3 linked regions of the Nothobranchius furzeri genome follow. The protein of the gene in region 1 purifies or fractionates together with the protein of each later gene. This does not show direct contact. Links are inferred from orthologs where the notes say so. Each region holds a gene or a part of one and is shown on either strand. Other genes may lie near its edges. The genes, in order: mitogen-activated protein kinase kinase kinase kinase 4, striatin and rap2c.

Region 1 (3,648 bases):
AGCTCAGCCGTCCAGATCAGGTCACGCAGGAAGTCACATGGGAGCAGTGTAAAACATCTAGAAACTTTCAAAATAAAAGACGTGCAGATTTTTTTATTGCTTAACAAATGAACTAATACGTTGTTACCTCTGAAGAAAATAAACCACAGACCTTTGTGGATACATGCTTCAGTCTTTCTTCTTGTTTGTCATCACAAATTTCTGCCATGATTTTGCTGTGTGGAACAAATTCACGGCTGCTGTGCGTCTGAAATGCTCCTGATTGGCAGCGCCGCCGAGGTCTTGGTGAAAACCGGATTATAAGCCTGTGATAGTTTAGGTTTCCCCTGGCTCACACAGATCTTTAGACACCAGCGTAGGTGACTGTCAACTAATGACGCAGGAATTAAAGACATAAACATAAGTTTGCTCTTTTTTGTCTAAAATTAACGTTTTGTGAGATAACTAAAGCCGGGCGGACACTGTGCGACCTTTTCACCTTTTTGAGCCGATTTTCCACTCGTGCGAGAATCCACGAGATCGGGGCGAGTTTTGCGCCGAGCGTCGTGTAGTGTACAGGGGGTTACGAGAGGCGATTAACACCACGTGACCAGCTACCGTGAGCTCACACGGACTTCTGGCGTGTTTGATATTTTGCTCATCCCTCGTGAGGGTATCGCACTGTTGAAGCGGTGCTGCGAGCGGCTGCGACCCCAAAAAGTATCAGAACCGCTCACGGCGCATGCGCAATCCTGCATCAACACCGCTCGCCCACTATTTCCCTAATAACACACGCTGTTCGTTTTTATTTCTACACGTTTTTTTACTCACAAAGATTGTCAAGAAAGCGTGTTTGTCGTGTTCGTGTCAAATTAAACTGATCAGAAAACACAGATTTACTTTTCCTCATCCAACCCCATAAATCCCTGTGTGTCCTCCTGCAGCACTCCCGAAGGACAACAGGCAAGACAAAAAAGACTGACGTGTTGTGTAAAAACTGCTATTTTTAGCATATTTTTAGGGCCGACGTGTTGCTACCAGACGTACAGTGTGAGCACATGACTCGTGAGATCTGCCCTGCGAGGAAGTCGTACAGTTTGAGCTGAAGCTGAGTGCTACGAGTGAAAAAGTCGCACAGTGTCCGCCCAGCTTAAGTCAGTCTGCTACTAGTTAAACGAGAATTAATCTGATTATTATAGTTGAAATCTCAACAGGAGTTCTAGATTAAGGCCAAAATACCAGATTACCAAACACTCTTATTATGAAGGACTTTTATTGTGAAGGACTGAAGGAAGTCCTCTGATGCAGAAGAGTTAAAAGATCAGTTCTTATTCAACCAAATGCCATTTTTTTATAGTTTAGTCCCTTTCTTGACATTTGGACTTTAATCTCAAAGACTCCTCCTTATCTCAGTGTCCTCGTGACCCGAATACGCCGTCGTTCCGAGCTCCCATCAGGAGTTATCCCCATTCAGGGTTTCTGGCTAAAGTATTCCGAGGCATCAGTTGTGCCGACTCACACAGGAGGGATTTGGGATTTAGAAACAGGAGGTAAACTTTATTTCTGCCTTCTAAAGTAAGACTCTGTGGTGATTCATCAGGAAACACAAAAACAGACCTGGAGGGAGCCACGTCAGCACACACCAGATGGAGGAAGAGGAGGAAAAGGTGAGGAATGAGGAGTTACCTGGGGTTCCATAGGTCGATGCATGGCGGAAGACTCGGACGAGGAGCCCCCGTTGGAAAATGGTTCGGAGGAGCGGGGAGGCAGGGGGGGCTGCTTTGTAGGAGGTGCGATCTGAGGGGAGCCCTGGATGTTTTTACGGAAGCGTTCATCAGCCTGGGATTGAAGAACGGGAAAGACGGGATGAGAAATGACAACTCTGGATCTAAAAGCACTGATCAAGCAGAAGGGAACTACAACAGAAACTAGAGAAAAGTCCCATTTGTGTTTATTTGGATCCGAGTGAACGGTTTTCCTTCTGAAACAACAGTAGTTCCCGTCTCCTTTAGCCTGTATTACAGCTCCTTTAACTTATTTCTGGAAAAGACGACCGGTGAGAAAGACGTAAACATGCTTTAGGCCGGTTTTAGGCAGCCGTAAAGACACAAAAAGACATGAAGACAAACAAAAACAAATCGTCCTCACATTTAGAGTCAAAGGGAAGAGTTAAGGACACAGGAGAGACATTTTGCTGGTGGGACACATTGCTCTGGGTGCTCTGTGTTAGTTTAGGCCACATGCGATGGCCCAGTCATCACACATTAACCTGATCCTCCACTTCCGACGACAGTCCTGATCTGTCTGCTAACACCTGAGGTGTTGGGTGTGAGGGTCTGCTCTATCGTGTGTGAAGGCAAGCAAGAGGAAGCTGAAAAGAGCAGGCAGCAGGGCAGACAGAGCCGAGGAGGACGTTCACCTCTCCGATAGGCTGAGCAGGGGGACTGACAGGCTCCAAACTTTCTGCCTGGGGGGGTTTAGCGTCAGTAGGGGGTTCGTTCATAGGGGGGTGCGGGGTGGAGGAGGGGGAGCTCTGGCTGGGGCTGGTCTCATCAGCCTCCTCCTGGGATTCACCGCTGTCAGCAGGGACAGTCCGGGAGGCTCCGGAGGACTCAGAACTAGCAGAGTGGATGACCTGAGCTTGTGGGGAGGAGGCGGGGGGCAGAGTGGAGGTCTGTGGAGGTTTGCTTTGGTCTGAGGGGACTGTGGTCTGGTCGCCAGGCAGCTGTTTGGACTCATGCTGCAGAGACAGCAGGTAGGCCTGCTCCTGCTGCAGCCGCTTATGGAGGCGCTCAGCTTTGCGCTGCTCCTCCAGCTCCCGCCACTTGAACTCCTGTTACCATGACAACAAGCTGCTAATGAAGCTGCACACAAAGTCTGAACCATAGTTTAAACACACTTATACTTCTGCACTAAACCTCTACGCTCATTCTGAAAACATATTTCCTTTGTTGGCTGGAATTTCACTTTTGCCGAGTCATTATTGACACATTTATTTGTTTTAAAGGTGCATTATGTAGAAAGAAGTAAAAATGGCATCCTGTGACAAAATTTGTTTACTGCAACCACTTTAAAAAACACTGCAGCTTTTTGCTGTCCGTCGTCAAATTGCAATTGTCGGCGCTGCAGTATTAGCTCACGAGACGCGGCACCCCCACTCTCACCGCTGCTAAACAGCAGTTACGGCCCCCTTCCTTTGTTTTGAAAGGAGAAAAACTGACGATCCCAGCTGGATATGAAATATGTTCCTTCCAAAATGACTGAAACATTAGACTCTTGGGATTTTCTCACTGTAAATTTCTCACTCTGTTCTTACATACTGCACCTTTAATCATCACAATGAAAACAAAACAAATGAGCACGATGTAACATTTAAGTTCCTGACTGATTCTTAAATTTGTCTGTAGAGCTTATTTAGTCTCTTTTACTTACCTCAAAACTTATTTGTTTATTAAAGGCTGAATTACAAATCATGCCTTTTTTTGTTTGTATCAAAAAGTTTAGAACAGAAAATAAAATAAAACTTTATTGTCCACCGTGGTGGAAATTTTCCTTCGGCTCTCAAGAACTAAAAACATTCATGACACCATGTGCTCTGATTGGGTCTCATCGTTCACGTTGGTTAGGGATCAGTACAGCTCTTGGTACGAATGATTTTTTTATATATGT
Region 2 (3,648 bases), on another chromosome or scaffold:
GCTTTGCTTTTGGTTTGAGGCTTTTAGGCTGGAAAGTCAGACTCTGTAAAGAGAGGAGAGGGAGGGAGGGAGGCGGCAGTGCCTGACAGGACTTACTCTTCACCCCCTTTTTCCCCTTGCGCTCCTTTTTGTACTGCTCCTTGAGTTCGGTTATCAGGACCGGGTCCACGTCCCAGGTCTCAGAAATGGGACCTTGCTTGTCCTTTTCTAAACAAGGGGGAGAAAACCAGACCGAGAGGCTGTTGAGGAAGCGCCCCGGTCGAGAACAGATGGGCCTGGCAGAGCAGACACCTCTCAGGGGTTTTACTCCTCTGGACGTCGCGCTGCTCTCAAACCCTCCAGAGGAGTAAAAGTGTTCTTAAATACTGGGAGCGGAGCCGGCAGGTGTCTTCTCTCTCCATACGCGTCGGTGTCGAGAGACAAATTAAGTTGTTTAAATTTTAAACACCTGAACAGGTCGGGGTTTGGTCAGAGGAGACACGAGGCAGGAGACACATTGTGGACACAAACAGGATATGGGGACAAACAGACAAACTATGAGTTAAACGCTCCTGGTGTCGTGATTTATGACCACAGCATGAAAAATGAATGACGACTTCTCCATGATCGGCTCCAAAAACAAGAATACAACATCTTAAGATCATTTTATGAAGTATCTGAACTTATCGTCCAAGAGGAGCTAAATAATCTAACTGCATCCATAATAAATAAATAGTACATCAAGACATTTAGACTCACCCCAGTCTGTGCCGTCTCCAGTCCCTCTGGACTCTGACGAGGTGTCCGTCTCGTCGGGGCTGGACAGGAAGTCAAAGCCTTTCAGCGCCTCCTCGGCGTCAGGGTCCTCACTGGTGTCCATACTGGCTGGTGATGATGACGAAGGAGGTTTCTTCCTCATGATCTAAAAATGATAAGAAAAGATTTTTTTTTTGGGGGGGGGGGGGGGGGCACGATTGTGTCAGTTCAGAAGGGCGAGGGGAGACGAGTGTCTTACAGTCCTGGATTCCACATTAGTCCTCTCCTTCCCCTCACTGTCCTCCTCCTCATCTTCATCGCTGAACTCAGCCGCTGCGTTTTCAATGAATTTGAAGGCCTCCAGGACGGCGCTAGTGTCGGAGAGCTCAGCTTTCCTGAAGGGGGACGTTTACGACTGGTTAGATTAACAACGTGTCCAGGATTTATCCAGTACCCGTTTCTAATGGACCAAGGTTCATCTGAAAGGCCTGAAATGTTCCTGGAATATTTCTGCTGGCGATGAAACGATACAAATATAACTCAGGATCATTTTTTGTCAATAGATACACAAGAACAGGTCGATGCAGTTTGTAGAACAGATGAGTAGCAAGTGGTAGTAAGAGCTGCTCTGCGTTGGACCAATCATGTGGCTGGAATGGAGCCGTGCAGCTCGGTAGCAGCTGGACGCGCTAACAGCTAATGTTTGAGCAGGGCAGGACTTTTGTCAAAAAAGGAAAAATTTGTGTCCAGAAATAAAATAAAAAAAAGACAGAAGACACAGCGGATGACATCAGTTGTGTGGACGCGTTTAAGCTTTTTAAACATGAAAATATGCCTTTCAAATTATGCTCATTGCATATTTGGAGAGCGAAGCCTCTTATCGCCCCTGTTTTTATGTTCAAATACAGTGATCGTTCGCTACTTCGCGGTTCGTTTATCGCGGATTCACGACTTCGCGGATTTTTTCTTTGGAGCCTTATTCAAGGGAAATTCGCCGATTCGCGGTATTTTCTATGCGAAATATCAAGAAATTCCTGTTTTTTTTTTCATCAAAAAATGCACTTTTTGTAATAAAACTATAAAAAACCAAGTAAAAAAAATTTCTATGTAAAGGGAGGGTTTTAAAAGTCTGAATACTGAATACGTACCTGTTAAATAAATACTGTAAATATGGTGTCCCTACTTCGCGGATTTTTTCTTTGGAGCCTTATTCAAGGGAAATTCGCCGATTCGCGGTATTTTCTATGCGAAATATCAAGAAATTCCTGTTTTTTTTCATCAAAAAATGCACTTTTTGTAATAAAACTATAAAAAACCAAGTTAAAAAATTTTCTATGTAAAGGGAGGGTTTTAAAAGTCTGAATACTGAATACGTACCTGTTAAATAAATACTGTAAATATGGTGTCCCTACTTCGCGGATTTTCACCTATCGCGGCCAGGTCTGGAACGCATCTACCGCGATAAACGAGGGATCACTGTACTTCAACAAAGGTTTTCTACCTCTACTAGAAACATGAATCTGGTAATGACGGACTTTGCTCTAATGCTAACAACCGGAACCTAAAGCATTATCTAGCATCCCTAAAGAAATAACTCTCACAAAGAAACCATCATTTCAGCTTCAACACACTTTTAAGCTGAGGACACCTACCCTGGTGTGCCGATGCCCTTAGTCGTTGAGTCTGTTCCGTTGACCGAAGGCTCCGTGTTCATCCGTTCACCCGTTTTCCCGCCTCCGTCTCCGGCAAGTCCCAGCAGAGCTCGGACCCGCTGGGACTTCACATCCAGGATGGTGTCTGTGTAGCCGACCTCCTGCAGGTACCTGCAACGGGGTGAACTAGATTACCAGCAGGCAGTGAAGTGGTGGTCGCACGCTTGGTTACACCTGCAACTCGTGTTGTTTCTGACCAAGACCCAGTGGATGACTTTTAGACAGCAGCCGTTAGATATACACCTACAACTGAACATGGTGATAATTTTATGGATACTAAGCTAGGTGTGCTAGTAGCTGAGAGACATTTACAACACGAACTCTGAGTGCTAACCGACGGTACAAGGTCAGCACCGTGTGACATCATTTAAAAACACGATTAGACCAACAAAGATCCACAGCTTTCCTGTTGAGGTATGTGGGTACACGGCTTCGGGTAGCGCCACAGAGCCATCAAGGTAAACCAGCCAATCAGCATGCAGCTCCTTTCTGCCACCATCCCGAGCCGTCTTTAACATAGTGTGTTAGGGTATGATGTGATTGTGCTTGGCGATGACGTCACTTTATTTAAACAGACAGACTGGAGAGCAGGACCACAGAAATGACTCCGACTCCGTGGTAACAGCAGCAGCCGTCCATGTGAGGGTGCTGCTCACCACAGCTTTTACCCTTTCTGCTCACAGAACCACTGGCCTCACAGTCCGTTTCACAAACTCTACAAGAAGCGAGGACGTTAGCCTGCCAACACGCTGGTATTTCTATTTAACAGATTCAGGAGGTTGTCCGGAGTAAAGCGTCAGCTTTAAATAAAAGAGCTCACTGTCTGAGGAGCTGCCGGCCTTGTTTCCAGGACAGCTGATTGTTGAGTGATCCAGAAGTCTCGTTTTCGTTGGCCTCATCTGAAGGAGAAGAGGAGGACACAAATCAGCACACCCACCCAACACTAAGTAAACAAGGACATTCCTGCATCACCATGGCCTGGAAACTAAACACAGTCTTAACACCTGAGTGGAGTCGAACGACAGTTACAGTCAGGCAGTCGCTCTAAAGCTTTAATCGTTGAAGTTAAACCTGGAATCACTACTGCTTTCTGTGGAAGAGCCTTCCTATGTTAAAACGAGACGTGTCATTCCTGAGCTTGTCTTCTGACACACACGTGGTTGATCTTTGCTCCACTGTGTCCTGTGACACGGTGAAAAGA
Region 3 (4,385 bases), on another chromosome or scaffold:
ATCTCAGAAAAAAAATAATCTATCAACATATACTGCTGTGGTCTGTGTCAGTTAGAGGATACTTGGAGTTTCAGAATAAGGTGAGCAGTACACCTGGGCAGCACACTGGTTTGTGTATGCATGGTTAAAAGTCAAAACGCTTCATTAATATGAAATACTTTATCAAATTCCAAATTTCAGACATTATACAAGTAATATTAAAGAATATAGTAATGATTAAAGCAGCTTTAGAAAGGTGCTGCAACCTCACACATCAGTCCTGCTTCAAGAAAACCATCTAAAAATGGATAAAAGAATAAAACCAATAAGACAGAAATTCACAAAGGACTGTTCTTCCAAAGAAGGCGTGTGCCTGACTGCTTCCCGCTTCATCAAAAAGGCTGTTGAGGTTGCAGCAAGAGCATCGTCCAACAGTTACAATATCAAAAATAGGAGTGATGTCTTCTTCTGTCAGTCAGAAACCACTGATCCGGTAGGTTGTTGTCAGACACGAGTCAGGTAGTCCTCAGGTTCTTCTAAATGCTTGCGGTGATCCAAACTTTTTAGATTTTAAAAGAAGAAAAAAAAAATGTTAGTTAATGAAATGAGTTGAAAAGGTCAGTGGAAGCTGGTAACAAAGGCAGCATCTCTACTAGACTGAACTTCCTGTTTTGGAGGCTAAATTCTCTCTCAGGATGTGACTTTTTCCTCTTTCCGCGGATCAGCTGACAACTCTTCTGGGTCTCTTTCCTTCCAGTTCTGAGCTGCTCAGATAGCTGGGTCCTCTACGTTCTGTGATCTTATGATAACAAGCTTACAAACGGTTTGCAGCGCCACCCACTCGTCATTCTCACTTCCAGCCAAATCCCTCCATTTCTTCACGCTGCAAATGAAAACGCCACAGTACCAGTCCATGTGTCACTTCCCCCCCTCAGCCTGTGAAGCATTTTTTTACACAAGCAGCAAGGACATTTCATCACATTTTGTAAAATTAGTCAGGATTCAACTGTGCATACCTACGTCGACCTCACTGCACCACGCAGGCCGTACAGCACTGCTCCTGCTTCTCCGGCAGCGTGGAGTAGTTCATCTGTCGCACGATTTCTGCAAACAGCTCATCCACCATGGTCTTGCTCTTGGCAGAAGTTTCAATGAAGGGGCAGCCCCACTCTTGAGCCAGAGCCCGTCCGTCCGATCCGGCGACCTCTCGCTCAGATTCCAGATCCACTTTGTTGCCGACCAGGATCAACGGCACCTTCTCAAAACGCTTCACTCGTACGATCTGGTCTCGCATCGGCCTGATATCCTGAAAAACACACAAGCACAGACATGTGGGAATGCATAAAAGCTCTAAGGAACAAATTAGTAGTTCAGGCTTTACTAATATAAAGACGAATGTGTTTTCTTGCAATCTTCCACTAATTTTACAGCGAAGCTGTAGGTTAAATGGTTACCAGGACATGCAAAGTGGGGAAAAATAAGAACAAATCAAGTAAAACTAGTGTTCGTTGCTTTGACGGGTTTTTTGACATTTTAGTCTCAAAACATCGTTTTTAACCATTTTATTTGTTGTCATAAGCTGATGAAGAGTGTGAAGCTTCTTTTGAGTTATTATAAGGTCACTACAACAACTCTCACCTAAAGAAACGGGTTTAATTGGACCCTTATGACCAAATAACTCCTGTTGATCTATAAAGTTTCTCTGCACTGTGGAGGTTTCCAGCAGGGCTACCTGGAAGGACTGCTGGTTGACCAGGCTGTAGACCAGGATGAAGCCCTGCCCGTTCTTGATGTACAGGTCCCTCATGGAGGCGAACTGCTCCGTCCCCGCCGTGTCCAGTATCTCCAGCACGGAGGGCGATGAGTCTACCTCGATCTCCTTTCGGTAAAAGTCCTCGATGGTCGGGTCGTACTTCTCGATAAAAGTGCCGGTGACAAACTGGACGGTGAGCGCGGACTTCCCGACGCCACCGCTCCCCAGCACGACAACTTTGTATTCTTTCATTGGGGAGGTGGAGGCTGGCTAACTCGGCAGCTATACTCCCTCCATTAACACCGCACAGGCCTTAAAAATATCTAACAGAACAGCTGGAAACAGTTAGACGGCATGAAACAAGCTCTGCTCATTCACATAACGCCCATTTCTGACACACATCTATGTTTTCTAACTCTTGTTAAATCGCGGTGAAGCTACCTCCAGTCTGGCTAATTTCCAGCCATTCCATTCCGGAGGCTTCGAGCCTTCACATTCGATCTGAAGCACCGCAAGTCGGCTTGGACTCAACGGAGAACTCGCTGTCTGTAGGCAGACAGCGAGTCACCGTGATCCACATTCAACCTCCTCTACAGACACCATACCACCTTCCCCGCTCACACACCAGCCTGCTGGTGTCGCAGCGCTTTCTTGTGTCCGGGTCCGGGCCTGGCTCTGGTTCCGGCCCGGCCCGCGGCCTCGGTAGCCAAGCGTCCTATCAACGCAGGTTCGGTGTTGCAATCCACCAGTCCATTAGCTACAGTTCTTAAGCAGTCCTCGTGTGTGCTGGACTCTGTAGATCAGTTTTTCCAGCATAAAGGAAATCTTTTCTCCACCGACTGATTTCCGGAAGCTGACGGGCTACTTCCGCACCGTCAATGCTTTCAAAATAAAAGCTCTACAAACTGGAATTAGGCCCGAGTATGAAAATAAAAGGAGCCAGCTGTTTTCCATCCATCCATTGTCTGAACCCGCTTGCCCATGCAGGGTCGTGGGGGGACTGGTGCCTATCTCCAGTGGTCAATGGGCAACCAGGCGGGGTACACCCTGGACAGAGTCCATCGCAGGGCAACACACACACACACACACACACACACACACACACACACACACACACACACACACACACACACACCTAAGGACAATTTTTAGACAGACCAATCAACCTAACAGTCATGTGGGAGGTAGCCAGAATACCCGGAGAGAACCCACGCATGCACAGGGAGAACATGCAATCTCCATGCAGAAAGATCCCAGGCCGGGAAGTGTACCTAGGACCTTCTTACTGCAAGGCAATAGATCTAACCACTGAGCCACTGCCTGGAGACAGCTGTTTATTTATTTATTTTTGTTGAATTTGGCCAATGAATGCACCATTCTACACAAGTTAACTGTGAAAATTAGTTTTAATGTTGAGTTATAATAAGAAATCATGATTTTCAGCTTTGTTTGTAAAGTTATCTTTGTAGTGTTGCTGTTTATTTATTTCTGATGATAGTTTTTTTTTTGCCAGGAAAGATTAATCATATCCAGTGTTTTGTGGTATACTCTGATTGGGAAAATGTAATCCTTTCAAACATATCGTGTTTTTCAGCTGATTCTAATGGTTTAACAAAAAATCAAAAACAAAATAAATCTGATCTCAGACAAATCTCTGCTGTAAGGCACATAGGGAGAAAATTTGTAAAAGAATAACCAAAAAATATAAATTACAACATGTGTTGGAGATCACTCTCGCCTTTTGTTTCTTGATTTTTTAATTTGTGATCCTAAGGATTTCCTGCATTTTTTTTTTTTGCCAACGCATGAAAAACAAATCACTAACTGGTTCATCTGTGATGAAATATTTGTACAGAGTCTTTATAATATATGCAGAGTCTCAAAGGTTCAATATAGGGATGCACCGAAACTGATATTGGTATTGGGTCAATATCGATACCAGTATTGGTTTAGATATATCAGTTCCTAGCATTGGTTACCTTTTACCAATACCAATGCAGTTGCCTCAAAGTTGCTTTACTGTAACTTCTCATTTCTGTTTGCCTAATATTTTAGTTTTGTGATCATTTTTATTAATATATTTCATTTTTTATCTACCTCACAGTCTTTTCCTGTTGAAAGCAGAGACGAAAATAAAAACCTGTAATCCAATTCATAGCTTTTTTTTGTGTGGTAGATGTATCAATATCGTATTGGTTTTTAGCAAAACGTTGTATCGGTGCATCCCTAGTTCAATATGTAAGAGTTTAACTGTGAAATAATCACAAAACAGTCTAATGTCTCAATCCTGTTGGAAGTGAATTTATATTGATTTATTGTTTTCCTTCTCAGCCGGCTGGGGGGGGGGGGGGGGGGGGGTCAGTTTTTCTCCTTTAAAAATGGTCAAAGACGGATGTAGTTACTGTTTGAGATCTATGAGCCTGCAAGCTTGTCGATTCTGCATGAGCCAACACTGCAGCTCTGGAATTTGTAACTTGACACTAGCAGGCAAAAAGCTCCAGAGTTGTTCAAAAACTTAAGCCAGAGCGACCCGGAGTGACCCTTAAAAGCCACGGAATCTTTTATCTACAGTAATATTGGGTAAAGAAGGCTAGAGGCTAATGTTGAGCTAACCATGCTAACAGTGAACTAGAAGCAAATAGTGGGCTCTGAA

What was found.
Region 2: the proteins of mitogen-activated protein kinase kinase kinase kinase 4 (region 1) and striatin purify together in Homo sapiens (affinity purification with mass spectrometry; 4 studies listed by BioGRID and IntAct, with this or other methods). This does not show direct contact. The link is inferred for Nothobranchius furzeri from reciprocal best matches to the Homo sapiens genes MAP4K4 and STRN.
Region 3: the proteins of mitogen-activated protein kinase kinase kinase kinase 4 (region 1) and rap2c purify together in Homo sapiens (affinity purification with mass spectrometry; 3 studies listed by BioGRID and IntAct, counting the BioPlex papers as one, with this or other methods). This does not show direct contact. The link is inferred for Nothobranchius furzeri from reciprocal best matches to the Homo sapiens genes MAP4K4 and RAP2C.

The regions. Positions count from the first base shown.
Region 1 is NC_091754.1:49,140,106-49,143,753, forward strand, and holds part of mitogen-activated protein kinase kinase kinase kinase 4, read right to left. Parts: intron 2,813-3,648; coding exon 2,399-2,812; intron 1,819-2,398; coding exon 1,666-1,818; intron 1-1,665.
Region 2 is NC_091752.1:1,683,401-1,687,048, forward strand, and holds part of striatin, read right to left. Parts: intron 3,347-3,648; coding exon 3,268-3,346; intron 2,559-3,267; coding exon 2,388-2,558; intron 1,131-2,387; coding exon 995-1,130; intron 902-994; coding exon 739-901; intron 208-738; coding exon 97-207; intron 1-96. UniProt on the Homo sapiens protein: Calmodulin-binding scaffolding protein which is the center of the striatin-interacting phosphatase and kinase (STRIPAK) complexes.
Region 3 is NC_091741.1:84,823,973-84,828,357, forward strand, and holds the start of rap2c (ras-related protein Rap-2c), read right to left. Parts: upstream 2,809-4,385; 5' UTR 1,985-2,808; coding exon 1,712-1,984; intron 1,286-1,711; coding exon 1,007-1,285; 3' UTR 1,000-1,006; exon of another isoform or gene 987-999; intron 916-986; exon of another isoform or gene 549-915; intron 539-548; 3' UTR 1-538. UniProt on the Homo sapiens protein: Small GTP-binding protein which cycles between a GDP-bound inactive and a GTP-bound active form. May play a role in cytoskeletal rearrangements and regulate cell spreading through activation of the effector TNIK.